Canis lupus familiaris: one gene and its partners. The protein of the gene in region 4 purifies or fractionates together with the protein of the main gene of each other region. This does not show direct contact. Links are inferred from orthologs where the notes say so. Each region holds a gene or a part of one and is shown on either strand. Other genes may lie near its edges. The genes, in order: ASB7, RAB40B, ASB6, RNF7, RAB40C, TULP4 and SPSB2.

Region 1 (4,091 bases), on a different chromosome or scaffold from region 4:
ATCAGGTTCTGGACCTTTCTTTCCTTTAAAAACCCATGTACCTGGCAAGCGAATTAACACAAAATTAACTACCAGGTTGAAAAAAATAAACTGTCCATGTTGGTAAATAATTACCCAAATTAAACATTTCAAATGTTCAGCATAACCTAGACCAAACACTCTCAATCATGCTAATATTAGAAACAGATGTCAACAATTTACATTTACATATATATTCCCTAATCTTAGAAAAACCGTCAAAAGCTGAGAGGATCGATGAAATATTATTTAAGCAATGAGAATGACCTGCCTAGCAACCAGGATAAAGGAGTGTCGTCTCTATACCTTGCATACTTGACTTGCCACAGACCCACTCTCTTACAATCTCAGGTGATAACACCCCTTGTAAATGAAAACATGCTAGAGTTCTATATCTAAAGTAGAAAATAAAAATATTTATGTGAGAAGGTCTGAACAGAAAACGCATAATTCATTTGTACCTTAAAAACATACTTCAAGTATGTTAGCATATTTAAAAAAAAACAATTCCTAAAGCCATCATTAGGCATTTCTCTGGTAATTTGCACATTTAAATAATGAAAATTCCCTTTAACTTGACAGACTTCTGCCTAGCTTTTACTGAATTGAAGTGGATCCCATGTACACATAAAGGCTGTCCTAAATGTTCACCGTGAACGTCTAATCACTGCTAGGTACTTATTTCCAATCTCATTCAGTAGCATACACTCTCCCTTTGGTGACCAGTTCCAGGTCTCAAGAACACAAATCCTCAGAGAACTTAAAAGTATCTTGACTGACGTCTTCACAATTAAAAATAATCAGGAAAGGCATTAATTTATTTTTGTAAAAGGCAGAAAGTCCAGTGGAACAGAGTAAATCAAAAATTTCCTAACAACTTGTTATTTTAAGTACTTCTTTGTATCTGAAATTCCCTAAACAATCTTAGATATTAAAATAACTCTGAGATTAACAAGTCACTTTATACCCCTGTTACCGGATGGCAAAGAAGTCATTCACTTGACTAATTTCTGAACTAACTCTTACATAATTTCCCTGATCATATTCCCTCTTTAGGAAGTACATGAATGTCCTACACTTACCTTTAATGCATTTTCAGAGGCAGCCACAAAATACAGCGGCAGAAACGTGATCACACGAATGAGATGCTTACATTTCAATCTAACAAATTATCTGTAAGGGTTTTGAAGAGATCTTATCTACGAAGAGTGCAGAAACAAAGCCCTAGATTCTAAAAACACCAAAACATTCCCGTGTTTTCAAACTCTTGAGTGTCAACTGATTAACAAAATATTGTATAAAGTTTTGGAAGTTCTTCTAGAAAATCTATGGTGCAACAAATATAACAGTTTCAAGACCCATCCACACCTGTCACACAGAAACACATAAAAGCTGCAAGAGTTAATTATGCTCAAGTGCTTCAGGGGCAAATAACTGGTTTCAACTATCCACACTATCCAGGTACACAGATTCACTTTTCACGAGAAAAAAGTCACATTGTCTTTCGAAACTCATAAATTTCAAGCCACTACTATGCCTTCCTCTACTAAACCCTTGTCAGTTAACTGAAAAGATTTTCTGATGAGTGAGTGGAGAAAAGGTGATAGGAAGACATAAGGGGAACACAGAAAATTGTGGTTTAGTTAAAAAGCAGAATCATTCAGAATTAACAAGCAATTAACAAGGAATTGAGGAATTCCTAAGAGAGTAAGGGGGAGGGGGGGCTACAAAAAGGTCTCAAAGTCTCAGAGCAGAGTAAATGGTACAGTGCACGGAAAGGATAACGCAAAGAACGGAAACACAAGGTACACAGAAAAAGAGGGAAATAGGCTTCTGAGAGAGAAGTTATTAGTTAAAATCTTAAGGATCAGGCACAGGCAGTGTTTCGTTCTTGCTGGGGAAACTGGGTGCCAGGAAAGAGCTGCATTTCCAGGTAACTAGGCTGAAAAGAAAGCAGTGCCTAATGAGGTAGGGGCCAGGAATAAACAATGGGGGAGGGGAGGTCTGGCTTATTACCTTTACAGAGGATGCTGATCAGAGGCTCTCGGCGGCTTCTCCGGTGGGCGGCTTGACCCCTTCGTGCTCTCTGGTCTCCTCCAGCCAGCTCAAACCTGGAACGCAGAGACCTGTGAGTGGTGCAGGGACCCAGGGGCTGTGAGGAAGGGGTTAGCCAAGGAAGAGTGGTAAGGGCAGGCGGGAAGGAGCAGGGATTCTCCCTCCCCAGCCAGCGCCCGGCCCCTCGGCGGAGGTAACTGACTTTACCTGTCTCCTCAGCTGCTGCTTCTCTTCCTCCTTTCAGGCTTCTCCACACTCACCAACTTCTCCATTGAACAAACACTCCAGGCAGGGCCGGACACGGGTGTTCCTGATCCTTCTCGGTGCCTCACGGCCCCAGCCCGGCGAGCATCCGGACAGCCGGGCAGAACGGAGGCGACGGTCCTGGGCGCCGGGCAGCCTCGGGGCAGGGGTGCAGGGAGGAAGTCCCGGCTCGGGTGGGGGGGCAGCCCCGGTCTGAGGGCTCGGAGCAGGGGCTGCCGCGCTCCGGGCCGGAGGCTCCCAGCTACGGGGGCACACGGGAGGTCTCCGGGCAGCGAAGTCCCAGGTCATACAGGGTCCGAAGTGCCAGCCGCGGGGGCTCCAGGCAGGGGGCTTTCGGGATGCACTTTGCACTGGGCCACCCCCGCCCCCTCCCTCCAGCACTTTGGGGTCACTGGGATGGGACCAAGCCTTCAGCAGCCAATCAGCGGCCGCATAGGAGCCTGAGCCCGGAGCCGTAAACCAGGTCCGGGGTGGGTGGGGGTGGGGGGTGGGGGCGACTTGGTTGGTTGGTTGCTTCCTTCTCTCCTCCTTACCCACGGCAGCCCCCACCCCTTGCCTGCCGTAAAGCCGTCTGCGCATTCGCGACAGTTAGGAGAGGCGTGCCGACCGAGGCTGGGACTCGTTTCGGATTGGCCTCGCTCACTTCCCCCTCGGCTTCCCCCTGAGGCTTCCGACGCTCCGCCCCTGGCGGAGGGACTCGACGCGGTTGCTAAGAGACGCCGTCCGCCGAACGGGCCCTCTGCGCATGCGGGAGGGGAGGTCGGCAGGCGCTTTCCGAGAACTACGGTGGCCGGGAGGGTGCCCCTGGTCCTTGGAGCGGCGGTGCGAAGGCTGAGTCTCCCACGCCAGATCCCCGGCAGGTAACTGGGAGCGGCGGCGAGGAAGGCGTGTGTGCGGCCGACTGAGAGGCTGGTGCAGGAGTCTAAGGTTGGGGAGGCGGCAGTCCCCAGGAAGCGAGGAGAGAGGGACGCCGCGTGCCGCCGCCCGCCCCCCCCCCCCCCCCCGCCCCGCAGCGCTTTTCAGGCGCGGGTGCCGGGTCCGCAGCTCGTCTTTGGGTCCCTGAGGCCCCTTTAGCTACCAGGCTGGGCTTGCCTCGCCCGGCGAGGAAAAGAAGACTCTCTTTGGGATGGCGGTGACGCTGCAAGAGCCTTCCTGCAAGGACAGGCACCCTGACGGATCTCTGACAACGGAGGGGACAGGAGACCGGACCATACGCGAGATGCACCTGTCCATTGAGTGCATGGATTCATTTAGCAAGCGTTTGTTGGCCGGGAGCTGTTTCAGCCGTTAGGGAGACAAGAGGGAACAAGGTAGATGGAATCACTTGTCCCCGTGGAGCTCTCGCTTTAACCAGGGAGACAGATAAACACAAAATTATCAGATAGGGATAACTTATACAAAGGAAGTCGAAGAGAACAATAGGATCGAGTTTGACTAGGACCTGCTGGTTAGAGAGGTAGTCAGGAAAGGTCTCTGAGGAAGTGACATTGGAGCAGCGATCTGAATGAGGAGGAGCCAACCTTGGCACGATCTGGGAGGAGGTGGGGGCGTGGGGAAGAATTTTGCTGGCAGGTAGAATCAACAGTGCAAAGCCTCTGATGCTGGATTAACCTTTGCTGTTTAACAGAAACTGCAAGAAAGAAGATCAGCGTAGTCGAGCAGAGTGAGTAAGAGGGAGGATGATTGGTAATGACGTTGCGGGTGTGGGACAGGCCGCAGATCTTTGCAGGACCTCGTAAGCCATGGTAGGGAAG
Region 2 (4,171 bases), on a different chromosome or scaffold from region 4:
CCTCCCCAAGCCCCCAGCAGAATGCAAAGTAGAACGTGTCTAATAATAATAATAATAATAATAATACTGGGAAAGATTTCAACTTCTTAAAATCCCTGGAAAGTGTCTTTTTTAACCTAAGTCCTCCCTCGGGGTGGAAGAAAGACCTTTGGGGGAAAGTGCTAATTCGTTGCTTTTACAAACGCTCAGTCTACAAATAACAAGAAAGAAGGTAACGCAGCAGAGCCACCCAAGCTCTGTTCAAACCACCAGGACACCCACTCTGTCCACACTCCTCCCACCGGCCCACATCGCTCACCCACTAGGGCTCGTGCCCCCAGCCACGCAGTTTTAGGAGCACCGTGCTCTATGTGCCCGATGTGTCTTCCTTCACCTCTACGAGCTCCTGCACCCACTGAGCCCCAGGCCCTGCGGAGGAAACTGCAGACACAACCCGCTGCCCTCCTGGAGCCCGAGCCCCAGAGCGGCGCCTGCCAGCAGAGCCCTGCTACAGGGTCACAGGCCAGGGGCTGCTGTTGAGCACTTGACCCACGATTCATAGGAACCTTTACTTGTGTTTCATTGTAACTACTTTATTTTTTTTTTTAAGATTTATTTATGATAGACACACACAGAGAGAGAGAGAGAGAGAGAGAGAGAGGCAGAGACACAGGCAGAGGGAGAAGCAGGCTCCATGCCGGGAGCCCGACGTGGGACTCAATCCCGGGACTCCAGGATCGTGCCCTGGGCCAAAGGCAGGTGCCAAACCGCTGAGCCACTCAGGGATCCCCCTACTTTAAATTTAAAAATCACATGTCACTGATGGCACCACCTTGGATGACACAGATCTGGAATTAGAGACGGAATCTGTATTTTCACAAGCGCCAAGGTTGACTCTCACACCCTCAACCTCAGGAATAGTCCAGGTTCTTGGCATCGGTTCTCCGGAACCTTCCCGACCTCCTCCCAACTTTCTCCCCGGCCCAACACCTCCAATCTCACAGGCCCGCCCCAGGCCATTCCACCTGAGCCTCTCCTCCCTGCTCAGAAGCCCCAGGCTCCCCTCTCTGCCAGCTCTGCTGACCACTGTTTCCCTTCGCGTCCCTCACCCCGCAAACTTTGCCCTGCACCCCTGCCCCTCTTGCCTCAACTCAAGTTCATTTGCTGCTGAGGTCCTCTGGACCCAGGACGTCCTCCTCTGGACCGTTGCCTCAATTCTACCCTGGTCAGGGCAGGAAGCACACCTGCTGGCTTGAACATCAACAGACCCCTTGCTGGGCCGCCCTCCTCTGCTCCTGGAGACCCCGACTGCAAGCCCAGGAGACAGAGGGGGCAAGACCTGTGTTGGAGGTGCGCCTGGAGCCTCTGACACAAGGGCTGACAGGTGCCCTTTGCAGCCACCCGCACCGTCAGAGCGGCCTGCCTGGGTGAAGACCTGACTCGGCCCCTGCCCGCTGGTCCAGCTGGATGCCCACCTCACTGGCCTCCCCTCGCCATCTCTCCCTCCTAACGCCGCACACCGCCTTGGGGCCTCTGACCCTCAGACCCCCAGACCCCAGCTTTGAGGATCCTCCACCCCCTGTCCTCCCTGAGCCCTGTGGCTTCTCCTCCACCTGAACCCTCACTCCTTCCCTTTCCGTGGTGCTTCCCTTCCCGCCCTCAGGCCGCATTCCCCAGGGTCATTTGGGTTTCTTGCCCTCCGGGATCCTGTTTGCAGAGGAGGAGCCTCTCCAGGCTGGTTAGTTCTCTTGCTTCCTCTCCCCTCGGCTTCCATCCCTCCCACGCGCAGAGCCTCCACCTGGGAGCCTCGGCCCCGTCCCCTCCCGCCCGCTCCGTTACCCCCACGCATCCTCTCCAAACGCGCTCGCGGCCTCCCAGCCGGGCGCACGCAGCAGCCCCGCTACCTCCTCCCCAAAGCCCACCTGCGTGGTCCGCCCGCCTCCGCCGGGGCCGAGGTACCCCAGAGCCCTGCCCGGCCGCTGGCTGCGCGAGGAAGCGGACCTTGGGGAGACCGTAGACCGACGTGCCGCGCTCCCCACGCGCGGACCTGGGGTGCAGCCCGGCCTCCTGCGGAGCGCGCGCCCGACTCAGGCCCAGGGCCGAGAGCCTCGCGCGCCTGGATCCCGGCCCTTCGCGCGCTCCACCGCCTGGCTCTGCGCCCCCGGGCGAGGGCCTCCCCCGGCCGCTGCGCCCCCAGCTCCTCGGCGCGCTCCCCCGGTGCCCGGCTCCCCGCGCCCGCCGCGCGCTCCCCCGGCCCCTTGCGCTCGGCGGCTCCACGCCCCCCGGCCCTCCGCGCGCTCTCTGGGCCCCCGCTGGCTCCCCGCCCAGCCCCTCCCAGCCCGCCGCCAGGACCCCAGCCCGCCCCCGTGCGCTCCCGGCACCCCTCCCTCCCGCCCCCCCTGCGCTCCCGGCGCCCCCACCGCGAGCTCCCGGCCCCCCCCACCGCGAGCTCCCGGCCCACCTCGCCCCCCCCGTGCGCTCCCGGCCCCCCTCCCTCCCACCCCCCGTGCGCTCCCGGTCCCCCCACCTCGAGCTCCCGCCCCCCCCCCCCACCGCGATCCCCCCGGGCTCTGCTCCCGGGTCCCGGCCCCGCGCTCACCCGCCGGGTGGCCGTAGGGGGACTCGGCCGCGCCATCCTGCAGGCTCGCCAGGATCTCGCCTTTGCCCACGTCGCTGTCGCCCACCAGCAAGAACTTGAGCAGGAAGTCGTAGGCGCGGACCGGGCTGCCCAGGGTGTTCATCGTGCGGCCGCCGCCGCCTGCGCCCATGCCCGGCCCGCGGGAGGCACAGAGGCCCCGCGGTCCGCCGCTGACAGCACGGAGCCCCGCCCCGCCCGCCCCGCCCCGCCCCGCCATTGGCCAGCCGCAGTTGCTAGGGCGGCTGCGCACGCTCATTGGCTGCGCTGCCCGTCCATCTCCCCTCGTCTCCGCCCCTCCCGGGAGGCTTTGGTCTTCGCCGCCTCTGCGGCCGGGGGCGGGGCCGGGGCGAAGCGGGGCGGGGCGAGACGCGGCTGTGACGGCCACAGCCAATGAGGTCCGGAAGTGGGCGGGCCGGGGGCGGGGCCTGGCCTCCCGGCTGCCGCGCCCTCCACGCGCTGCCACCTGCAGACTTGGCGGGGCCGGTTCAGTTGGCGGACGTGCAGCCGGGAGGCCAGAACCAGGTCGTCTGGCGTCCGGGGTCCCTGTCCCGCGTGGGCCTGGGCCCGCGGTGTCCCCCAGGATTTCCCGGGGCCTCGTCTTTGTCCCCGAGCGCGTGGGCGCGAGTGCCCGTGTGTGTGCGTGCGCCTGTGCACGTGTGCACGTGTTCGTGTGTGTGCATCGCTGCGCCCTGCATGTGCATGGGTGTGCGCACGTGAGCCTGTGCGCGTGTTTCTGGGGGAGCTGAGGGACAGGCAAGGTGGGGACCCTCCAGGCCTCAGACTTCTCCCCGCATCTAGGGAGTCATGGACGCTGGACTGAGATTGGACCGCTTTGCTTTCAGATCCAATCCCCAAATTCCCTGCGGGGATCACCCTGATGGGAATCCATGCCCCTTCTGGACCAATACAAGGGCCCTGTAGTAGAGCCTCTGGCAGCACCCCATGGGGAAGATCCCATATCCTTGGCAGCCCTGTGTCCATTCTTAGAATGTCCTCTGAATATGCATAATCAAGGTCCCCACCAGACGACCTCGGGGCTCTAATTACCTTACAAAGGCCACATCTCCAGGTATTATCACACTGGGATTTAGGGGTTCAATATATGGTTGGGAGCATATTCAGTCCACAGCAGGCATCATGGTGGGGAGGGGGGCAGGCCTACCCCGAGCAGGAATGAGCTCTGGGGTGAGGAGCTCTGCCCGCTGAGAGCCAGGGCTGGGAGGTTTGTGCTCACCAATCCCTCAGTCAGCCTTTCCCAGGGCCCTCGGACAGTCTCGAGGTCCAGTGTGGGATGTTTGAACCAGCCCCAGGGGTCCCAGGGGTCTGGATTGTTCTTTGTGGTAGTTGTTCTGCGTTGCTGGACAGAGCAGCATCCCTGACCCCTATCCGTTAGATACCAGGGCACTCTTCTCCCAGCTGTAACCACTAAAAACGTCTCCAGAATTGCACATCGCCATTCCTCACCTTGAGATGAAAACAGGTCGCCCCCAGCAGTCCCCATGAACACGTCTTGACTCACGGTGGCATTAGGTGGTAAGGGCAGGTCACATGTGA
Region 3 (3,071 bases), on a different chromosome or scaffold from region 4:
CTGCTCTGAAGCAGGGATGTGGTGAGTGGGGGGCTATGGGCAGCCTCACAGGCCCCCAGGCCCATTCAGCTATGCTTTCTTGGCTCAGATCCATGAGAGCAGCCCCTTGGACCTGGCCAGTGAGGAGCCCGAGCGCCTGCCCTGCCTGCAGCGCCTCCTGGATCTTGGAGCAGACGTCAACGCGGCTGATAAGCATGGTGGGTGCCTCCCACAGGAAAGCAGGGCACCTGGCACCGGGTGCTTTGCGAGGGAAAGCCAGAGCACCCCAGGACAGTGGCTAGGTGTGCAGGCTAGATTTTGCTGCATTTTGCTGACCTGCAGAAGCTTTCAGGAAGTGGTGCAGCCATTGGCCCCACGCCAGCCCCTTGAGGTCTGTCTGCAGGAGGAAGTAGGGCATGCATGTGGTCAGATTCTGAGGCAGAGTTAGCACTTCTTGGCAGAGACTAAGCCCGGGTCTCAGGTAGCAGCATCTGCGTGTCCAGAAATATCCCACGTCTTCTGGCCACTCTGCTCTTGGTTCTGTGTTGGTGGAAAGGGAATGACTAGAAACCGATCACCCTCCACCTTGGCTGAGAAGTTGGTCCTTTTTAAAGTTTGCTTTCTGGGGGGTGCCCAGCTGGCTCAGTTGGTAGAGTATGTGACTCTTGATCTCAAGAGTTGTGAGTTCAAGCCCCATGTTGGGTGTAAAGATTACTTAAAATCCTTGAGGACAAAACAAAGTCCACTTTCTCATCCTGTGGTGTCCCCTGCACCTGAGGGGTGGTCCTGACCTTGGTTTCCTGGTCCACACTCCTCATTCTCTTCCTTCCATAGGAAAGACTGCTCTGCTCCATGCTTTGGCCAGCAGTGACGGGGTGCAGATCTATAATACTGAGAATATCCGGCTCTTACTGGAAGGAGGTGAGGCTGGTCCACAGGCTGTTCCCAGGCCCTTCTCTTTCTTCCCACCATTAAACATGAAGCATTACTTTGCAGGGATTTAAGACCTTCTCCTGTTTTCTCTTTTCCTGACTGGCTCTTGTAGGGGCAGATGTGAAGGCTACCACCAAAGACGGGGACACTGTGTTCACCTGCATCATCTTCCTGCTTGGTGAGACGGTGGGAGGGGACAAAGAAGAGGCCCAGATGATCAGCCGCTTCTGCTTCCAAGTCACACAGCTGCTCCTGGCCCATGGGGCTGACCCCAGCGAGTGCCCAGCCCACGAGTCCCTCACACACATCTGCCTCAAGAGCTTCAAACTGCATTTCCCTCTCCTGCGCTTCCTGCTGGAGTCTGGAGCTGCCTATAACTGTTCCCTCCATGGTGCATCCTGCTGGTCTGGCTTCCACATCATCTTTGAGAGGCTCTGTTCCCACCCAGGCTGTGCTGAAGATGAGAGCCACGTGGACCTCCTGCGCAAAGCTGAGACCGTCCTAGATCTCATGGTGACGAATTCCCAGAAACTCCAGCTGCCTGAAAACTTCGATATCCATCCTGTGGGCAGTCTAGCAGAGAAGATCCAGGCCCTTCACTTCTCCTTGAGGCAGCTGGAGAGCTATCCTCCATCCCTCAAGCACCTATGTCGGGTTTACATCCGGCTCTATCTTCAGCCCTGGCCTGTGGATGCGAAGGTCAAAGCCCTACCTCTGCCTGACAGGCTGAAATGGTACCTCCTCAGTGAGCATAGTGGTACCGTTGAAGAGGACATCTGACCACTCCCGGATGGAAGGGTGCAGGGTCTGGGCAGCTCAGCCTGCTGGTGGATTTTGGTACCTGTGGCAGCCTTAGGGGAGAACCTTCTGGCCATCTTCCGGAAGGTACAGGTTGGGAGAGGAGACTTGATCCTAACTGTGTACCAAGAACACAGGTGGAGCCCAGCAGCTGCGGTCATTCCTGTGGGAAAAAAACTCTGTCTTCCAGGGGGACTGCCCCCCCTTCTGTCTGCCAGAACCCCCAAGTCTCAACCACATTGGGAAAAGGGACAGGGTGTAGATTTGGGACAAGTGTACACCTCGTCTGCAGGGAGCATCAGGCAGGGTAGCTTTGAGTCTCTGTCCTCCTGAGAACTGTAGGAGGCTGGTCTGTCTTGCATGGGGCCCAACTAAAGCCAGAAGGAAGCATGGTAGGCTTGTGGGGGACAACCCTGCAAGGCCCTTCACTCCCAGCCTCTCCTCATGCTAGATTATGTCACATACAGAAGTGCTTTTGGTGGGCTAGGGAGAAAGCTGAGCTGACCCCTGCCACCTTTGGCCGTTCTGGGACCAGGTCACCCACGGCCCAGCCACCAAGGCACGGGACTGGACTCTGGTGGCAGCTGTCTGTGCCAAACCTGGGACCTTGGGAGACCATGTCTTCTGCTAAAAGCAATTCTGCATGACCAGAGACAGTCCTTTCCAAAATGTCTCACAATTTTGTGAGGGGTCCATCTGATGAAGAAAGCTACACTGCTGAAAGCTGACTGTACTGCCCAGGCCGAGCCCTCACAAAGCCGAGTCCCAGGCACATGGGCCCTTATGAATTGTGTAAATGCTGGGGAAGCAAGCTGAGGCAACTAAAGATACATTATAAAGTAAAACATTTCTCTTGGCCTTCAAGGTGACATTTTGGCCCCTCACCCTTCCCCAGCCTCAGATAAAGGCTCCCACTGCAGCCATTAAGAGGTGAGAAGCACTAGGGGACGGCAGCATCTGGTGGGGACAATTAACACAGCACTGCTGTCCCAGTTAAAAAAGAGTACCACTCCACACTGGCTAGGGCCTTCCCATTACAGGATTCACCCTTTTATTTTCTGACTGAAAATGCTCACCGAGGAGGAGCTGCCAGGCCCAGCCAGGAGTGAGGCTGCAGACTTGTAACGATCACATTAGGGACACCAGGGCTCCATCACCACACAGGCCTCAGAAAGCAAACATCCCCAGCAGCTGCAGGAGGTAGCAGGCCTGCCCAGGCTCGCCGTAGCAACAGGGTGACAGTGCCAGCTCCAGGCCCGGCTCCTCTCCTCCCCCCAAGGGAAAAAAGTCCTCTATGACCGAGAGTTCTCTTCCTCTTAAGGCAGCCAGGCCTACAGCTGGAAGGCCAGGTGGTACAAGGG
Region 4 (4,067 bases):
GTGGTAATGAGTCACCTCCTTAGGCATTTGGTACCTCAACTTTCTTATCTCTTAAAAAGGAAGATGTTGTCTCTTTGCTTGAGAAAACAGAAGAACATGACCCCGAGGCTAGCAAGAGAAGCGCCCAGGCTTCATAACTGGCACCTTCACATGATAATAGCGGTGTTACTCCTACACATTAAAAAGAGGAGGTTAAACAGCAGCAGAGGTTCTTGGAGCATGGACCCCTGCGTCCGGGGCATCCTTGCAGGCGACCAGCGGGTCAAAACTATTTGCATGCCAGGATTCAGAGCTATTCTCCCTCTTTTCCCTCTTTATGAGAGCGTTTTCCAGAAGCTACATTATATGGGCACCATCCCTCTAATAACTTGTAATGAGATGATTACTATTAGTTTTTTTTTTTTTTTTTTTAGAGAGAGATTTTACTTATTTATTAGAGGCAGAGAGAGGCAGAGACATAGACAGAGGGAGAAGCAGGCTCCCTGCAAGGATGTGGGACTCGATCCCGGATCCGAGGATCACGACCTGAGCCAAAGGCAAACGCTCAACCACTGAGCCACCCAGGCGCCCCTGTTACCGTTACTTTTAAATGGATGCATTTCAATCCTCCCCTCAAATTTTTAAAAAGATTTTATGTATTTATTCATGAGCGACAGAGGGGGGTTGGGCAGGGACCCAGGCAGAGGGAGAAGCAGGCTCCATGCAGGGAGCCCGACGTGGGACTCGATCCGGATCCCGGGTCTCCAGGGTCACGACCTGGGTCGAAGGCGGCGCCAAACCGCTGAGCCACCCGGGCTGCCCGTCGATTTAAGCTTCTTAAAAAGCAGACAGACTACATCGGGGTGCTGAGCCCCGAAAGTCTGAGAACCGCTGAACCAGGTTTGTCGGAAGACCTGGAGGCAAACGTCTCCTGCATACGGAGGACGAGGCGCCGAGGGCGAAGACGCGGTCCCCGCTCCGGCGGGGTCCACACGCGGGTGGCGGCGGTGCCACGAACGAGAGGCCTGTGAGGGCGCTGAGCTCCCGGGAGGCACACGGCAGGCACACGGCAGGTCGCCCGGGGCCTGCGCAGGGCGCTCGGGGCCGCGGGCACCCAGGCTTCGCGCGCAGTCGCCCCGCAGGCCTCGCCCTCCGGGAGGCCCCCGCGGGCCGGGGGCGGGGCGGGGCGACGAGCGGCCGGGCGCTGGCGTCAGTGACGTCACTGGGCCGCGCCGGCCAATCGAGGCGGCCCGGGTCGTAGGCGCCGCCGGGGTCCGCGGCCTGCAGGGGGCGCTCTGGCCCGCCGGGCGGCCCCGCGGAGCCGCCATAGCCGCCCGCCTCCCCCGATTTAACGTCTCGGCTGCCGGCTCCGCGCCGCCGCCATGGCCGACGTGGAAGACGGCGAGGAGCCCTGCGCCGTGTCCTCTCACTCCGGGAGCGCAGGCTCCAAGTCCGGAGGCGACAAGATGTTCTCTCTCAAGAAGTGGAATGCGGTGGCCATGTGGAGCTGGGACGTGGAGTGCGATACGTGCGCCATCTGCAGGGTCCAGGTGATGGGTAAGCGCTGCACGCGAGGCCCGGGCCGCGCCACGGCCTCCGCGGGGCCGACTCGGCGGGGGCAGCCGGGGGAAGCAGGCTCGGCGAGACCCGGGGCGGGAGGAGCGGGGCGGGGCGGGGCGCGGGGGCCGCCGCTGGGGCTCGGGGGCGCCGGGCGCCGGGAGCGGGGCTGCCCGGGAGGGACGCGGGCAGCGAGCGGAGGAATTGATGTAATTCCAGGTAGAGAAAGGGTGTGGCCGAAGAACTAAAACTGGGTCATTTGATGGCAGCGAAGAGAAGCCACTTAGGTTTGTGCGGCGAGCTCCAGCTCTTGAAAGCCAGGCGCGGAGGGGTCGGCGTGAAAGGCCCCGGGCGAGTAAGGGCACCTTAACGGCAGCGATGACCCGCCGGGGTGATGCTCTGGAGGCCGCTCCCACCGGCGCGACCCCTCAGTCCGCCCCGCAGCGGCGGGAGGCGCGGCAGCCGTCGCGTGTCTGGGTTGGCGAACTGCTGTTGCGCAGGCCTGCGGACCTGCCCGCGCCGCGATGGGGCCTCGGAGAGACACAGGGTGGTTCAAGGACGTGGGGCAGCGCGGGGCGTGACCCCGGAGGCCGGGGCGTGACCCTGGAGACCCGGGATCGAGTCCCGCGTCGGGCTCCCCGCAGGGAGCTGCTTCTCCCTCTGCCTGTGTCTCTGCCTCTCTCTCGCTCTCTCTGTGTCTCTCATGAATAAATAAATAACATTTAAATAAAATAAAATAAAATATTGAAGGTTCTCAGGAATGGAAGAGTGGATGCCCTCTTATTCAGAAACATAAAGCTTCCATCTCCTTCTGGCCCCTCCCTATCATAGGATGCCATTTCCTGAAGAAAAACAAAAAACAAAACAAAAAAAAAACAACGATCCTGCCCTGCTCCGAGTCAGACCTTTATGGAGAGCCCTCTTGCACAAATCAAGTCTCGACTTCTTTTCTGTGATACTTCCAAATGAAAACACTGGGCCAAACGAGACCTTTCAGAGCAGCTTCATCCTGTTACGTTTTATATGCTCTCTGTTTTTTTTTTTTTTTTTTTTTTTTTTTAAGATCTCAAACCACCTTGCAAAAGACAATGCTACCTAAACGCAAGTTATTTTTTTATTTTTATTTTTTTAATAGAACAATCAAAACACGGAGAGAGGATCTTCGTGTTTCTTAGGGGTAGGTGGGGAAAACTGAGGTTCTGCAGTTTGAAAACTTCGTGTCCTGCTCTGAAAAATGAGAGAATTGGAGAAAAATAAACAGAATTGCTCTCTCAAGGGATGACATTAAAACCTGCTAGAATGGAGAGAATCTCAGTTTCCACTCTTTTTAAGCACACTTGTTTTTTATTCATAAAATCTTGTTTCAGAGAGTATTTATGACAATAGGATTCAAGTATTGTTTATTTTTTACTTTTGAGTGCCCGCTTGGGCAGTACCTATGCTAAAATTGGAACGATATTTTTTACTTTTGAAAGAACTTGATTTCAGACACGATCCACTTATTTTGCATATTAGGTCTTAAAAGCACCCAGTTTATTGGTCTGCATTACCACTCCCTTATGCCTCGGTTACTTAAACTATCATAATTTCCAGTTTGAGTGGCATCATTAACTTATCCAGGCAACTTAATTTTTTGTTCTTTTGCATAGCAAACTTTGCTTAATGTTTTATCCTTTAAATTTCCTTTAGTTAAAAAGAAAGTGTTCCAGAAAGTGTTTTTTATATTTCTCCCCAAAGAAAGATTTTAGATTTGTAAGTAGAAATGCAGAATTCAAAGTAATGGTTGAAATACTGCAACAAATAAACTGTACTGGCATATTTAGAGTAAGTCAGAATATGGGCTATAAATGGTTGACATTCATAGTAACCTTCTAATTATAGCAAGTATTCTGACTGTGGATTAATTTTGCAGATTTACAACAGCTGTCCTTTGAGTTAAGGAAAGTATTCTGGACTAGACCTCTGTATTTTGTTTATGAGGTGTTAAAATCCATTTTAGTGGCCAGGTGACAACAGAAGGAAGTTTTTCAGACTTCCTAAGCCTTACCCTAGTAGCATCATTCTAAAAGGTATTGCTGTAATTGTACTCCTTAAAAATGTTCTGTTTTAGATCTTAGGAATATCATGGAAAGAATTTTCTTTATCTAAAACTATGAATTTTTATAGATTTAGGTTGGGTTTTGTTGTTTTTCACTCTTAGGTTGGGTTTTGATGAGTCTAATCAAAGCTCAATCAAAATCATAATCCAGAAATTTCTAGATTCTGCAAAAGAGCCCACTTAATTCCATCTCCTTAATATTTCAAATTCATAAATCACCTAAATGATTCATTATGACTTCTTGATCCAAAATTTGCCTGTCAGCCTGTTCTGATGTGGTTAACACTCTCTTCTTTGATTTCCACTCTTCTCCCTTCATTCTGAAAGGAGCAGATGACACAGTGAGCAATTGTTGAAGAGGAAAATAGGTTTGCTAGTACTGTTGAATTATAAAGAGCCAGAGTAACCCTTCGTGGCTATTTATGTTAACTTG
Region 5 (4,065 bases), on a different chromosome or scaffold from region 4:
TCAGGCAGCTCACTGCCAGCCCTATTCCAGTCAACGTGTCACAGGAACCGTGGCAACCACCACAACCAACGAGGGGCATACGGTGGCCCTGTGTTCCCCGAGTGCCGGCGGCCCCCACGTGGAACACCTGAGGGTGAGGCTGCGCTGACTCTCAGAAGCACGTTATCAACGTTCCAGGAAAACACTGCTGCCCCGGACAAAGCCCGGCCTTCTCACGCTCTTGTAAACACGCCCCAGCAGCCACCCAGGAGTGGGGCTCTGGGAGGCGATGCCCCTACTGGAAAAACACCTCAACCACTCACTGTCTACGGCGGGAAGGACACCTCTGACAATCACTGCCAAGCATCCGCTGGCGAGGGCCTGCGAGGGCCCCAGCGGAGGCCCTCCTTCACCTTAAAACAAACCCGGGGCCCCTCCTCTCCTCCCCTTCCAGTTGTCTCCTCTAAGGTGGGGCAGAGGGCATGAGCTGCAGGAGGGGCCACGGTATAAATCCAGCAGAGCTGCCCCCTGCTGAAGCGGCTCCAGCGGGAAGGGCAGTCAGCAGGTCCAGCTCATCCAACAACCCCGACAGGTCCTAAAATGAAAGGGTCGGAGTAGCAGCGTCCACACCGTCAGCCGCCTCCAGGTGATTGAGCAAACAGCAAACACTTAGAGCAGTGCGACAAGACCGCCAAGGGTCCAAGACACAAAATAGCAAAGGGCTGGGGAACAAAGACCAGAAGAAGTAGGAGGAGATGGAGCAGGACTTCCAGGAGCACACAAGGTCCCTGCGGAGATGGCTGCCGGGCCACCAGTAGATTTCCTGGTTCCCCTCAAAGAAATCCTCCTGGGGCTGGGGCCCCCACGCCGGGAGGCACTGACCTCGCTGCCTTTCTTACGTGAGATACGTGAATTGGCAGCAGCTCTGACAGGTGCCAGGCTGTGTACCCACCCTACCCTTCACCAACACAAGCAGAAATTTCAGGAGTATGTAGTCACACCGGGAAGAGAATGTCTCCTCCTAGCATGACATGTTGGGCCCGCACGGAGCTGCCACCATCTCAGGGTGCGGCCTGCCTGCACACCTGGGCCGTGGGGTCACAGCAGACCTGGCACACCTGGCACAGTGGCCCCCACAGAGCACGGGGCAGGGGGTGTGACTGCAGGCGGGGATGGCCAGGGTGGTGGTGTCACTGCCGTGGGGATGGCGGGGGCAGGAGTGTCACTGCGGGCGGGGATGGCCGGGGCAGGGGTGTTGCTGTGGGCGGGAATGGCCGGGGCAGGGGTGTCACTGCGGATGGGGATGGTGGGGACAGGGGTATCACTGCAGGTGGGGATGGCGGAGGCAGGGGTCTCACTGCAGGCGGGGATGGCCAGAGCAGCGGTGTCACTGCAGGTAGGGATGGCCAGGGCAGGGGTGTCACTGTGAGTGTGGATGGTGGGGGCAGGGGTGTCACGGTGGGCGGGGATGGTGGGGACAGGAGTGTCACTGCGCGCAGGGATGGTGGGGACAGCGGTGTCACTGTGGGTGGGGATGACCAGACAGAGGTGTCACTGCCGGGGGGGGGGGGGGGGGGGCGAGGGGGGCGGGGGAATGGCCGGGCAGTGGTGTCCCTGCGGGCCGGGTGGCGGGGCAGGGGCGCCGCGGGGATCGGGGCCTGCGCGGGGCGGGGCGGCGAGGCGGGGCGCGGCCTTACCGTTGCTGTAGGCGTACGGGGACTCGGCCGCGCCGTCCTGCAGGCTCTCCAGGATCTCGCCCTTGCCCACGTCGCTGTCGCCCACCAGCAGGAACTTGAGCAGGTAGTCGTAGCTCTTGACCGGGCTGCCCTGCGTCCCCATCCTCAGGCGCGCGCGGGCCCCGCCCGCATGTCCCCCGCGCCGGCCGCGGGCGCACGGCGGCACCAGGAGGCCTCGGACCGACCTGCGGGCCCGGGCGCGGGTGAGTGGGCGCCGGCGAGGACAGGACGGGCCCGCCCCGTCGCCCCCGCCGCCCGCGCCGCCGCCTCGCCTCGCCTCGCCTCACCTCAGCGCCGCCGCCGCCCCGCCGCCCCGCCGCCCCGCGGCTCGCCGCTTCCCGCACGGCGCCGCACAGCCCCGCGCCCCGCCCCCGGCCCGAGCGCCGCCATTGGCCGCCCCGCGCCCGCCGGCCCCATTGGCCCGTGCGCACGTCCGTCACGCCGGCCCGCCCCCCGCCGTTTCCCACACCCCGCCGTTAAACCTCCGGCCGCCCCGCCTCCGCGCCGTCGCCATTGGCCGCCCGCCGCCTCCTCCCGTGCCCATTGGTCCGCACGCACGTCCGTCACGACGGCCCGCCCCCCCGCCGCTCCCCCCCTCCGCTCTCGGGGCAAGATTCCAGCCGCCTGGCCTAGCCGCCGCCGCCCTTGGCCCTTCGCCTCCGGGTTCCCCGGCGCCCCTGGCTCGCCCGCACATCCACCAGCACCTTCACCGCCCCCGCCGCGCCCCGCAGAGCGGCCGGAGTCGCCAGCCACCCTGGCCCCCCGCCCCCGCCCCGGGAACGCCGCGGCCCTCGCCCGCCCCCTCCCCGCCGCCATTGGCCACCGCTGCCGAGTCTCCCACAGCCACTGGCCCGCCCGCACGTCGATCACGGCCCGCTAAGCCCGCCCCTTCGCCCCGCACTTCCCGCCCCTTTCTCTACACGCTCACCAATCGGGAGCTCGGGGCTTCGGTTGTTTGCATACGCCCCCTGCCCGCGGGCCGTGGCGGTCCCCGGCCGAGGCGGCGCGCTCGGGTCCCGGGGGACGAACGCCGCTCGCCAGCCGCGGCGCTGCTCCCGCGGAGACCCCAGTCAGGGCGGGGAGCCCCGTGCGACTGCGCCCTGGGAGCCGGCCTCCCCGCGGTGGGGCGGGGCCCGGGCGTGGCGGGACGGGGTTGGCCAATCAGCGCTCGGAGGGCCGGGGGCGGGACTTCCGCTCTCGGCGGGGCGGGGCGGGCCGGGGCCGCTGCGGGGGGAGGGGGGCCGGAGCGGCCCAGAGGGCGAGGGCGAGGGCGAGGGCGGGGGCGGGGGCGGGGGCGGCCTGGGTCGCGCGCGGCCCACGGTGCTGGAGGCTCGGCAGCGCCTGCCTTCGGACCCGGGGCGGATGGCTGCCCCGGCCCTGGGTTCGCGGCGGGAGCCCCCCCCCCTCCCCCCCCGGGTCAGGGCGGGTCAGGCGGGGCGGGGGTCCGGGAGGAAGCGCCTCGGCGGTTGTTTACAGGCTGCACCCGCTGCTTTACTTAACGGACAGAGAAGCGTGAGGACCCCGCGAACACGCGTGACGACGCAGCTCCTCTGCAAAATGGAAAATAAAGCAGAATAATACCCTCCCCACCCCTCGGCCTGTGGGCCCGGACGTGGGGGCAGCCGGTGGGGGGGGGCGAGGGGGAGAGGAAGGGCGAAGGGGGCGAGGGGGGGTAGGGAGGGGGACCTGGAGGGGAGGGGTGGGGAGAGCCGCGGGGGGGGGTGCTGGGGGGGTGAGGGGGACCTGGAGGGGAGGGGTTGGGGTGAGCCAAGTGGGGGGGTGAGGGGGACCTGGAGGGGCAGGGGTGGGGGGAGCCGGGTGGGGGGATGCTGTGGGGGTGAGGGGGACCTGGAGGGGCAGGGGTGGGGGGATGCTGGGGGGATGAGGGGGACCTGGAGGGGTAGGGGTGGGGGGAGCTGGGGGGGTGCTCAGGGAGAGCTGAGGGGGACCTGGAAGGGGGGGAGCCGGTCGGTGTGGGGGTGCTCCAGGAGACCGGGGAGCTACGGAGAGCCTGCGCCAACAGTGAAGAACTCCAGTGACAGCAGAGCATCACCAGGATCATTTGAACATTTATGCTTTTAAAAAATTACCGACTCCTTTGATCCCAGGCTTTATGCATAGAGAAGCTCTGTGTGCCCAGGAAGAGGCCTGGGACTATGCCCTCCCGGGGGACAGCATGACTCCATCAGGGACCCAGAGTGATGACCTTTGTTTTAATGGAACGTATTTACATGTGACCCCTAATAATGAGTGACTCAGAAAGTTAACTATAAAATACCAGAGAGGGGGCAGACTGGGGGGGCTCAGTGGTTTAGCGCCGCCTGCAGCCCAGGGTGTGATCCTGGAGTCC
Region 6 (3,993 bases), on a different chromosome or scaffold from region 4:
ATGTGAATGTACTAATGCCATGGAACTGTTAAGATGATAAATGTTATATGTATATTTTGCCACACAAACAACAGTATGTTTGGTATGTTAAAATTGAGTAACTGAACATTATCCCAGCCAAATTAAAAGAAATTTTACATTTTAATTACATATTCCCTGCTGTGTCAGCAGTCTCCCTGGGCAAATGAACAATTTCAGGAAGGTAATACTGAAAATACTTCACAGATTCCTAAAGAGGAGCCAATGCAATAACTAAACCAAAGTATTTCCTGACAGAAGTTTAACTCAATTTTTAATGAGTTTTTGTGAATCACATGCATAGCTGGCCCACTCAATCTATCTTCAATCTTTCTCCACATACGGAAAAGAACAGGAGGGAGACTGCAATTGATATTGCAAGTGCAGTGGAACAGATGAAGAATAATGTCTTAGCTTCACCATGCACATGGTAGGCACTCAATAAACATGCCTGATTTCGGATACTCAGTAAAACCAAGAGAAAACCTGGGCTTCACTTTCTGTCCCAGACACTAGCTAGTGAGAAGGCAGACATTCCACTCAAAGGAAGGCCACTGTCTCTCTACTTCTTCCATTACTTCCATTACCATGTATCCTTATATAGGTCAAAGAATTTTTTTTTTTTTTAACTCAAGAGTTTGGGTGGGAAAAACGCGTGAATAACCAAACTACCACTCTTATAGCTCCATATGAAAACAGAAAGTCAGTCCAACATGACACACACATCTTTTCTAAATGAAGTCAATTTTAAAGTATACAGTAGAAAATACATTATTATTATTTCTCAGGCACAGGAAGCAATGCTGGCTTCCTACTCTTGTATCCTGAGAGCTCCACTGTATTAGAAATTTTCCCCATATGATTTCCTCTAACTCAGGTCTACATACTTCTAACTCTAGAGGTCAACCACCTTCCCCCATCACATGAAGATCCTGCTACTTTCACAGCCCTTACTAAAATAGAGCACTTAAAATTCTTAAAGAAAATTCACGTCTTCAAATAACTCTTTCCTACAAATTAAGTACTATTCTTTAAACTGAGGAACTAAACACTAGATTTGGCTTTTCACAATTTATTCATATATTCATTTCCACGATAGTAAACTATCAAGAAAAGAAGGGGGGGGGGGGTCGCCTGAGGTCCTCCAGGTCTTAATGTGGCTATCATTGCAAAATGTTGGGATCAGCTCCCAATATGCCCCACCAGACGGCCAGGAGTCTGGGCAGCTAGCTGCTCTCTGGATTGCAGTGTGGCTCTGTGCAAGGTGCCCTGTCACTTCACATCCATCACGACCTCAAATCCCAGCTATCTGGTGCTGCCGGGCCTGGTGATGAGCCCTCTCCGGGACCACAGCACCATTCCCACGGGCCCCGAGGGCCAAAACTAAATTCCAGTTACTAACAAATGGAAACCCAAGACACAAAGAAGCAGAAATAAAGGGACCCCCGCAAAGATAAGATTTTTGCATTCCTCAAAACCTTAGAAATGAATGTTCTTTCTCTGTGCTTTTTCAAAAACCTGTCTACTGGGAGTCCTGGAGTGCCAAATAGAAAGAGAAGAGCCCCCAACTAAATACAGAAATCCAGGAAACAGTTCCCTGCAAGGGAAGCTGACTGTCCCCAGGAAGAGAAGTGTGTCGGAAGACTTTCTGATCAGCAATTAGCGATTTAGCAGGTATTTAGCAGGTAAGTCGCATCCATCCCCGGGAGGACCGTGTCACCCTCATTTCCTTCCACAAAGCCAGGTGGCCCTCACCTTTCCAACCTTGAAGTGATGTGGCGAGGAAAAGTCAGACACCTCTCCCTGCTGCTGGCCCAAGCGGGTCCAACTTCAGAGCCAGCATCATGCACTTTGTTTTTAAGCGCAGGGAAAAGAGGAAGGGTTGGTATTCTGAGCGGAATCTCCGTTGATTTGCCAGAGGAAACCGTACAGACCAGACAGCAGAAGCGCCAGCGTTTCCATGCAGCTGCCACGACAGGTGACCGGGCCGCTCTGCAGACGCCCCGCACGCTCGGGGCTTCGCCGAGGTGGGGCGGGAAGGGAGGGCACAGCCTGGAGGACGGAAGGTGGGCAGGGGCAGGGGCAGGGGCAGGGGCAGGGGGGAAATCCACTCCGTCCGCACGCTGCGGGTGGGGGTGGGAGGAAGAGGAGGAGCACAGCCCCGTCTCCCCGGGAAACCGTTTTAAGGGATCTTCTCTCTCCACAATTAAGAAGAAGAAGAAAAAATGGCTCCGAGCCAAACGCCTCCTGATTTACACACACACGCACACCAAGCTCTATTTCGCCCCATTTTCCTGTACGCTGAAACAAAAGGCGAACACGGCTCAACAGCAGGCAGCGCCGCCCGGAGCCCGCCGTCCGCGCCCCCGGGAGAGCCCACCCGAGGCGGCCCGCCCGCCGCCGCCGCCGCCGCCGCCGCCCCCCGCCCCCCGCCCGAGGACCGGCCTCCCGCCCCGGGCCGGGCCGCCGCCGCCCTCCCCGCCCGCCGCCGCCGCCGCCGCCGCCGCCGCCGCCGCCCGCGCGCCCCCCGCCCGCGCGCGCACACGGGCCTGGCCGGCGCCGGGGGCCGCGAGCCCACCTCGAGGGGCGGGCGCCCGGCCGGGCTCGGGAGGGCGCTGCCGGCGGCGCCGGGGCCCGCCGCCTCCTCGCCGCGGAGGGCGGCAGCGCGCGGCCCGGCGCCCGTGACAGCGGCCCCGCGCCCGCCTCACCTCCTAGCGCCCCGTGGCGGCGGCCCCGCGCTCCTCCGCGCCTCTCCGCCTCCGCCTCCAGCAGCCCCGCGCCGCCGCCGCCGCCGCCGCCGCCGCCGCCTCCCCCCGCCCCGCGTCTCGACCGAGTCTCCGCCTCCCTCGGCCGCCGCCGCCGCCGCTGGGCCCGGCTCCGCGCCACGTGACCGCGCCACGTGACCCGGCGCGGCTGGCAGGCGCCTCCCCGGCCGGCCTCGCGCCCTCGCGCGCTGGGGACCCGCGCCCCGCCGGTGGACGCCCGCCCCGCCCCGCCCCGCCCGGCCCCGCCCGGCCCCGCCCGGCCCCCCGCCGCCCGCCGCCCGCCCGCCGCCACCTGCTCGCGCTCGCCTCCGCCCCGCTGCGCTCGCCCGAGCGCACACTCACGCGTGCACACACCGGCGCTCACGCGCGTGCACACGCGCAGCTCGCCGTCCTCGCCGTGCAGGGCTGCTTCCCAGCCTGCTCCCACGAGGAAAACAAAGTAGTCGGCTCTGCGCCCCCCCGACCTGAGAAATCCTGCCCACCCCGCAACGCGACGGCGGGCGCCCTGCCCCGGCCCGCCCTGGGCCCGCCCTGGGCCCGCCCTGAGCCCGCAGCGGGCGGGCGTCCCACCGCGTCCCAAGTTGGAGCCACCGGGAAGCGCCGAGGCGACCGTCGTCCCAGTGTCTCCGGCGGTGATCTTGGACCTCAGTGTCTGCTGTTCGGTTGGTCTTACAGGGAAGAGACCAGACGGCGTCGTTTCAACAGAGAGAGAATTCACTGCTCTTCTTCGCCACCGCATTGATGTCGTGCTAGGAACGGAAACTTTGTGCATCCATCCTGCGTTTTCCGTCGTGGACAAAGAAATAGCATCACTGATTGTGTGATTGTTCCTATATGTGTACTTAAAAAAATTTTTTTTAAAAGTCCAAGCAGACAAGATTGGGATGCCCTGGAGGGCTCGGCTCAGTCCGTTAATCTGGGACACTGGATCTCAGCTCAGGTCTTGATCTCAGGGTCCCGAGTTCAAGCCCCCTGTCGGGCTCGGCACAGGGCTGGGCTGGGCGTGGAGCCTACTTGTAAAAATTAACTAATTTAAAAAAAAATAATAAATCAGCATTCTTTCTTCCATAAGGCATCAAAGTCCTATGTAGTTAAGTGTAGTAGACACTCTTGGCGTAGATTCTGCACTTTTTTCTATTTTGCCTATTTGCCAAATTTTTAAATCGGCTTCAGATTTAAGAATTCTTGCTTCTGTGAATTTCTGGTTGTC
Region 7 (4,213 bases), on a different chromosome or scaffold from region 4:
TTATTTCTACTATATTTTTATAGTAGCTTGCCATAACAAAACACTGAGTATTTTAACAAGAAAATTTAATTTTCTCATAGTTCTGGAGGCAAGAAGTCTTAGGGCAACGTGTCAGTAAGTAGGTTTGGTTTCTTCTGAGGCCCTTCTTGCAGATGACTGCCTTATTGTGTCCTCACACAGTCTTCTCTGTGCACTGCACTTTTGTGTCCAAATTTCCTCTTCTCAAACTGACACCAGTCAGATTTGGGCCTACCTGACGGCCTCATTTTAACTTAATCATCACTTTAAAGGGCCTATTTCCAAATACACCACATTCTGAGGTACTGGGAGTTAAAGCTTCAAAATATGGACCAGAAGAGGGCAAATTCCACACCTAACAATGTTGCTATTATCTATGTTCTTAAAGTTATTTACCTCTTGAAATCAGTCATGGGGGGAGTATTTAGCATTTCAGTAAATGCTCCAAATTAGGGCTTTTTGTTCTCCCCGCCATGCCGCCATGCCCGGTGTCATTTAGTAGCACATCACAACTAGGAAGGTGTTAGTCTCGAGTATAATTTGAATCTGAAAAGGAAGAAATACACACACACACACACACACACAGGAGTGTGTATATGTAGATGGTGTACAGTGCATAACCTACATATAGCTTATGTAGCTTACATATAGCTTATATATATATATATATTTTTTTTTAATTTATTCATTCAGGAGAGATCCAGAGAGAGAGAGGCAGAGAAAGAGGCAGAGGAAGGAGGCTCCCTGCAGGGAGCCTGATGCAGCACTCTACCCCTGGACCCTGGGAACATGACCAGAGCCAAAGGCAGACACTCAACCAGTGAGCCACCCAGGTGTCCCTCGATGTTCTTTTAAGAAGTAATCGGGGACATCCTCCCATCGGTTTGGATTTACCCACAGGGATAAAACGTCCTTCCCTCCTCCCTACACTTTGAGAATCATTGAGGAGGAATGAACCAAGCACAAGCCAGTGCTATACCCCATTAAGATTCACTAGAAGGGGCATCTGGGTGGCTCGGTGGTTGAGCAGCTGCCTTTGGCTCAGGTCGAAATCCCTCGGTCCTAGGATTAGGATGGGGTCCTAAGTCGGGCTCCCTGCAGGGAGTCTATTCTTCCCTCTGCCTAGGTCTCTGCCTCTCTCTCTCATGAATGAATAAATGTTAAAAAAAAAAAAAAAAGAGAGACGGAGGGGGGGTTCACTAGAAGTAGAGGCCCTGAAGGATATAAAGGTGGAAGAAAAACTAGAAAAACTCGAGTCAGTATTTTTAAAATTAGCAAGGATAAACAAAAGCGTATTAGACTTGGCAAGCAAGATATCTGATGACTAATCTAGGTGAGGTTTGCGGAGCTAAAGCGTTTATGATCATCATAATAGGTGTGCGCTCCTTTACCCTAGCGTTTCTAGTAGAACCGGGGTGTCTCCTACTTCCGGCCTCCCCGCTCCAAGGTGCACAGAGCTTCACTCCCTCAGGGTGGGCAGGCCTCTACACTGGTCGGGGAGGCCAGGGGGCGGAGCGAGGAACTGCGAGGTGGAACCACAGGGCGCCTCTGACTGTAGAGACCCAGCAGGTGAGCCTGGAGCCCGAACCTGGCCGACGGCCCCGGCCCTTCCACGCCTCTCTGGAGCCCTGAACCAGAGCCCCCGTCCGCCGCCCGCTTCAGGGGCCGTCGCCTCCGAGCGCCGGTTCTCAGCTTCGGGCTCGGGCTTCCGCCCCGGGGCCTTTGTTCCGGCGCAGAACGTTCCAGACGCGCCGGAAGGCGGATGGCGGGGGCGGGGCTGCCACCGCGGCGGTCGGCCACGGGTGCGGCCGCTGGGGGGCGCGCGAGCCCCGGCTCAGGCCGCCCGCCCACGTGACCGCGGCGGGCCAGGAGGCCGCCCCCGCCCGCCCCCGCCCGCCGCCCGCCGCCAGCTCCGCCGCGGTTACGAAACGAGCGCCCGGGGCGGCGGCGCGGGGAGCCGCGCGTCGCCCAGGCCGACGGATTTTCCGTCGCCATTTCGTCGCCGCCCTTGTGTTTTGCGAGCGGCTCCCCTCTTTAAGTCCTGATGCTGCCATCCGGCAGCCCCGTAGTCTGGGGCGGGTCGTGTCGCCTCCCCAGGCCGCGGGCTACGAATCTGTAAAAATGGGGATCTCCTGGCGCGGAGATGTCAGGTCTCCTGGGATGCGGCGGAGTTTCATCGTAGGCGCCGGCGTGAGCCCGTTAAACAGGGCCGGAGGCTGCGAGCCAGCGTTGGGTTCCGCGCGGGCGTCCGACCGCGGGCCAGACCGTGTTCTCCGGGGCTCCAGTTCTCGCGGTTCCTCCGTCCGACGGGGCGGACCGCAGTGCTCGTATTCCGGTTTTAAAACTAGGTTCTAGCGTTCAGATGCCTCTTTTGTACCACGCACGCCCCGTGTGAAGCACCACGGCCGTCTGTCCGCCCCAGCGTGGCACGTTAATACGACCCCAAGAAATCCTCTCGAGTGGTCAAGAGCCCACGAATTTGGGAGCCAGGTCATCAAGCTCTCCCCCAACTGCTAGTGACAGCGAAGTACAGGTGATGATAAGCCTTTAATGAAGACTGAAAGAGCACTGAACTTACTGGTGGGAAAAAGGAGTCAGGTATATGAGCTTAATGACGGCAGTACCTGGCAAGGCAAGGAAAAAGAAACTCAAGTCAGAGTTCAAGCCTCCTGCCAGAGAAGACAGCTTCAGGTGGAAGAATTTCAAACATAGCCAAGGAGAACAGGGAGTAAAACTCACCCAGAGCTACTAAAAACAATTATTGGCCAAATAGCTATCTTCTGTAATAGAATGAGGCTGGTATCTTGGGGTTGGGGGGGGGGGGGCGCAGGGGACAAGGCCCAACTGCTTTTATTTTTATTTATTTATTTTAAAAAAATTTTTTTCTTTGATTTTTTTATTTATTTATGATAGGCACACAGTGAGAGAGAGAGAGGCAGAGACACAGGCAGAGGGAGAAGCAGGCTCCATGCACCGGGAGCCCGACGTGGGATTCGATCCAGGGTCGCGCCCTGGGCCAAAGGCAGGCGCCAAACCGCTGCGCCACCCAGGGATCCCCCCCAACTGCTTTTATATTTCCAAACTAGAAACACAGGCCCTGGATTGAAAACAATTAATGACCTTGTGACCACCGTTCTGTCCCTCTTTCATGGCGGCAGTGTAGCCCTGTATGTAATAAAGCCAGACATGTTCTACAGTGATACAAATGCCAGTGCCCTAAAAAACAAAAAAGATCTGCTTGTACTCCAGCAATTAAATGTAAAGTGCTAGATGACTGCAGCGCTTTCCACAATTGGGATTTATAGTTCTACATTCTAGAAATCCAGTAGGACCTTATAGAGAAAGGCTTTGGCTTTAGTGTTGAGCATAGACTACAGTACCATCTGAGGGGCCACACTGTATGAACGTGCTCCAAAAGACGTAAAAGGCTACCTCTCCCCAATATCACCCTTGTCCTTCACTTTGCTGACCTAGGCAGGATTTGCTGTTTCAAAGCCACATCTATGGGAATGAGTGAGATTCCTCTCTGACTCCCAGAGCCATGAGTGCTGACCCTAATCTAAATGTGATAATGAGGGGTGCCTGGGTGGCTCAGTCAATCAAGCATCTGTCTTTGGCTCTGGTCATGATCCCAGGGTCCTGGTATAGAGCTCTCTGTTGGGTTCCCTGCTCAGCAGGGATCAGAGAGCCTGCTTCTCCCTCTCCCTCTCTGCTTCTTCCTCCCTCTGCTTCTCCCTCTCCTTTTCCCTCTGCCTGCCATTCTGGCTGCTTATACTCTGTGTCACATAGATAAAATTGTTAAAAATAAGTAAATGTGGTAATGTGTTGGAAGAGTTGGACAATCTTCAGTATTGCCAGTTACATCACTTATATTAAACAGTCATGGCAACAATCAAGCTTAAAACAGCCCATGCATGTTAAGAAGAATGTGTTTAGGATTTTAAGGGGTTTCTATTAACCAAGAAATGAAACACACTGTTCAAGTGGCCTAGCAAGTGAATCATGTTAGCTTTGTGAAAGAAATTGAAGCTGGAAGCCACAGAGAAACACTAATAAAAAGAATGAGGAACTGATAAAATCATCCCAGAAGATAAAGATATGATAAACAGGAAGGGAAACCCAGATCACTTCTTCATAAATATGTTAAAATTGCTGCAAAAATGGTGAAATACCTGAATGATTTCATTCCTTTTTT

What was found.
Region 1: the proteins of RNF7 (region 4) and ASB7 purify together in Homo sapiens (co-immunoprecipitation; 4 studies listed by BioGRID and IntAct, with this or other methods). This does not show direct contact. The link is inferred for Canis lupus familiaris from reciprocal best matches to the Homo sapiens genes RNF7 and ASB7.
Region 2: the proteins of RNF7 (region 4) and RAB40B purify together in Homo sapiens (affinity purification with mass spectrometry; 3 studies listed by BioGRID and IntAct, with this or other methods). This does not show direct contact. The link is inferred for Canis lupus familiaris from reciprocal best matches to the Homo sapiens genes RNF7 and RAB40B.
Region 3: the proteins of RNF7 (region 4) and ASB6 purify together in Homo sapiens (co-immunoprecipitation; 4 studies listed by BioGRID and IntAct, counting the BioPlex papers as one, with this or other methods). This does not show direct contact. The link is inferred for Canis lupus familiaris from reciprocal best matches to the Homo sapiens genes RNF7 and ASB6.
Region 5: the proteins of RNF7 (region 4) and RAB40C purify together in Homo sapiens (co-immunoprecipitation; 4 studies listed by BioGRID and IntAct, with this or other methods). This does not show direct contact. The link is inferred for Canis lupus familiaris from reciprocal best matches to the Homo sapiens genes RNF7 and RAB40C.
Region 6: the proteins of RNF7 (region 4) and TULP4 purify together in Homo sapiens (co-immunoprecipitation; 3 studies listed by BioGRID and IntAct, with this or other methods). This does not show direct contact. The link is inferred for Canis lupus familiaris from reciprocal best matches to the Homo sapiens genes RNF7 and TULP4.
Region 7: the proteins of RNF7 (region 4) and SPSB2 purify together in Homo sapiens (co-immunoprecipitation; 3 studies listed by BioGRID and IntAct, with this or other methods). This does not show direct contact. The link is inferred for Canis lupus familiaris from reciprocal best matches to the Homo sapiens genes RNF7 and SPSB2.

Annotation. Positions count from the first base shown.
Region 1 is NC_049224.1:40,784,668-40,788,758, forward strand, and holds the start of ASB7 (ankyrin repeat and SOCS box protein 7), read right to left. Parts: upstream 2,801-4,091; 5' UTR 2,281-2,800; intron 2,130-2,280; 5' UTR 2,035-2,129; intron 1-2,034. UniProt on the Homo sapiens protein: Probable substrate-recognition component of a SCF-like ECS (Elongin-Cullin-SOCS-box protein) E3 ubiquitin-protein ligase complex which mediates the ubiquitination and subsequent proteasomal degradation of target proteins.
Region 2 is NC_049230.1:581,015-585,185, reverse strand, and holds the start of RAB40B (ras-related protein Rab-40B), read right to left. Parts: upstream 2,801-4,171; 5' UTR 2,748-2,800; coding exon 2,579-2,747; intron 1-2,578. UniProt on the Homo sapiens protein: RAB40B small GTPase acts as substrate-recognition components of the ECS(RAB40B) E3 ubiquitin ligase complex which mediates the ubiquitination of target proteins.
Region 3 is NC_049230.1:54,248,449-54,251,519, forward strand, and holds the end of ASB6 (ankyrin repeat and SOCS box protein 6), read left to right. Parts: intron 1-88; coding exon 89-197; intron 198-813; coding exon 814-900; intron 901-1,024; coding exon 1,025-1,692; 3' UTR 1,693-2,571; downstream 2,572-3,071. UniProt on the Homo sapiens protein: Probable substrate-recognition component of a SCF-like ECS (Elongin-Cullin-SOCS-box protein) E3 ubiquitin-protein ligase complex which mediates the ubiquitination and subsequent proteasomal degradation of target proteins.
Region 4 is NC_049244.1:38,109,685-38,113,751, forward strand, and holds the start of RNF7 (RING-box protein 2), read left to right. Parts: upstream 1-1,267; 5' UTR 1,268-1,361; coding exon 1,362-1,536; intron 1,537-1,755; exon of another isoform or gene 1,756-1,823; intron 1,824-4,067. UniProt on the Homo sapiens protein: Catalytic component of multiple cullin-5-RING E3 ubiquitin-protein ligase complexes (ECS complexes), which mediate the ubiquitination and subsequent proteasomal degradation of target proteins.
Region 5 is NC_049227.1:40,431,896-40,435,960, forward strand, and holds the start of RAB40C (ras-related protein Rab-40C), read right to left. Parts: upstream 2,801-4,065; 5' UTR 2,644-2,800; intron 1,901-2,643; 5' UTR 1,819-1,900; coding exon 1,677-1,818; intron 1-1,676. UniProt on the Homo sapiens protein: RAB40C small GTPase acts as substrate-recognition component of the ECS(RAB40C) E3 ubiquitin ligase complex which mediates the ubiquitination and subsequent proteasomal degradation of target proteins.
Region 6 is NC_049222.1:48,221,970-48,225,962, reverse strand, and holds the start of TULP4 (tubby-related protein 4), read right to left. Parts: upstream 2,801-3,993; 5' UTR 2,727-2,800; intron 2,320-2,726; exon of another isoform or gene 1,774-2,319; intron 1-1,773. UniProt on the Homo sapiens protein: May be a substrate-recognition component of a SCF-like ECS (Elongin-Cullin-SOCS-box protein) E3 ubiquitin ligase complex which mediates the ubiquitination and subsequent proteasomal degradation of target proteins.
Region 7 is NC_049248.1:7,948,372-7,952,584, reverse strand, and holds the start of SPSB2 (SPRY domain-containing SOCS box protein 2), read left to right. Parts: upstream 1-1,413; 5' UTR 1,414-1,587; exon of another isoform or gene 1,588-1,716; intron 1,717-4,213. UniProt on the Homo sapiens protein: Substrate recognition component of a SCF-like ECS (Elongin BC-CUL2/5-SOCS-box protein) E3 ubiquitin-protein ligase complex which mediates the ubiquitination and subsequent proteasomal degradation of target proteins.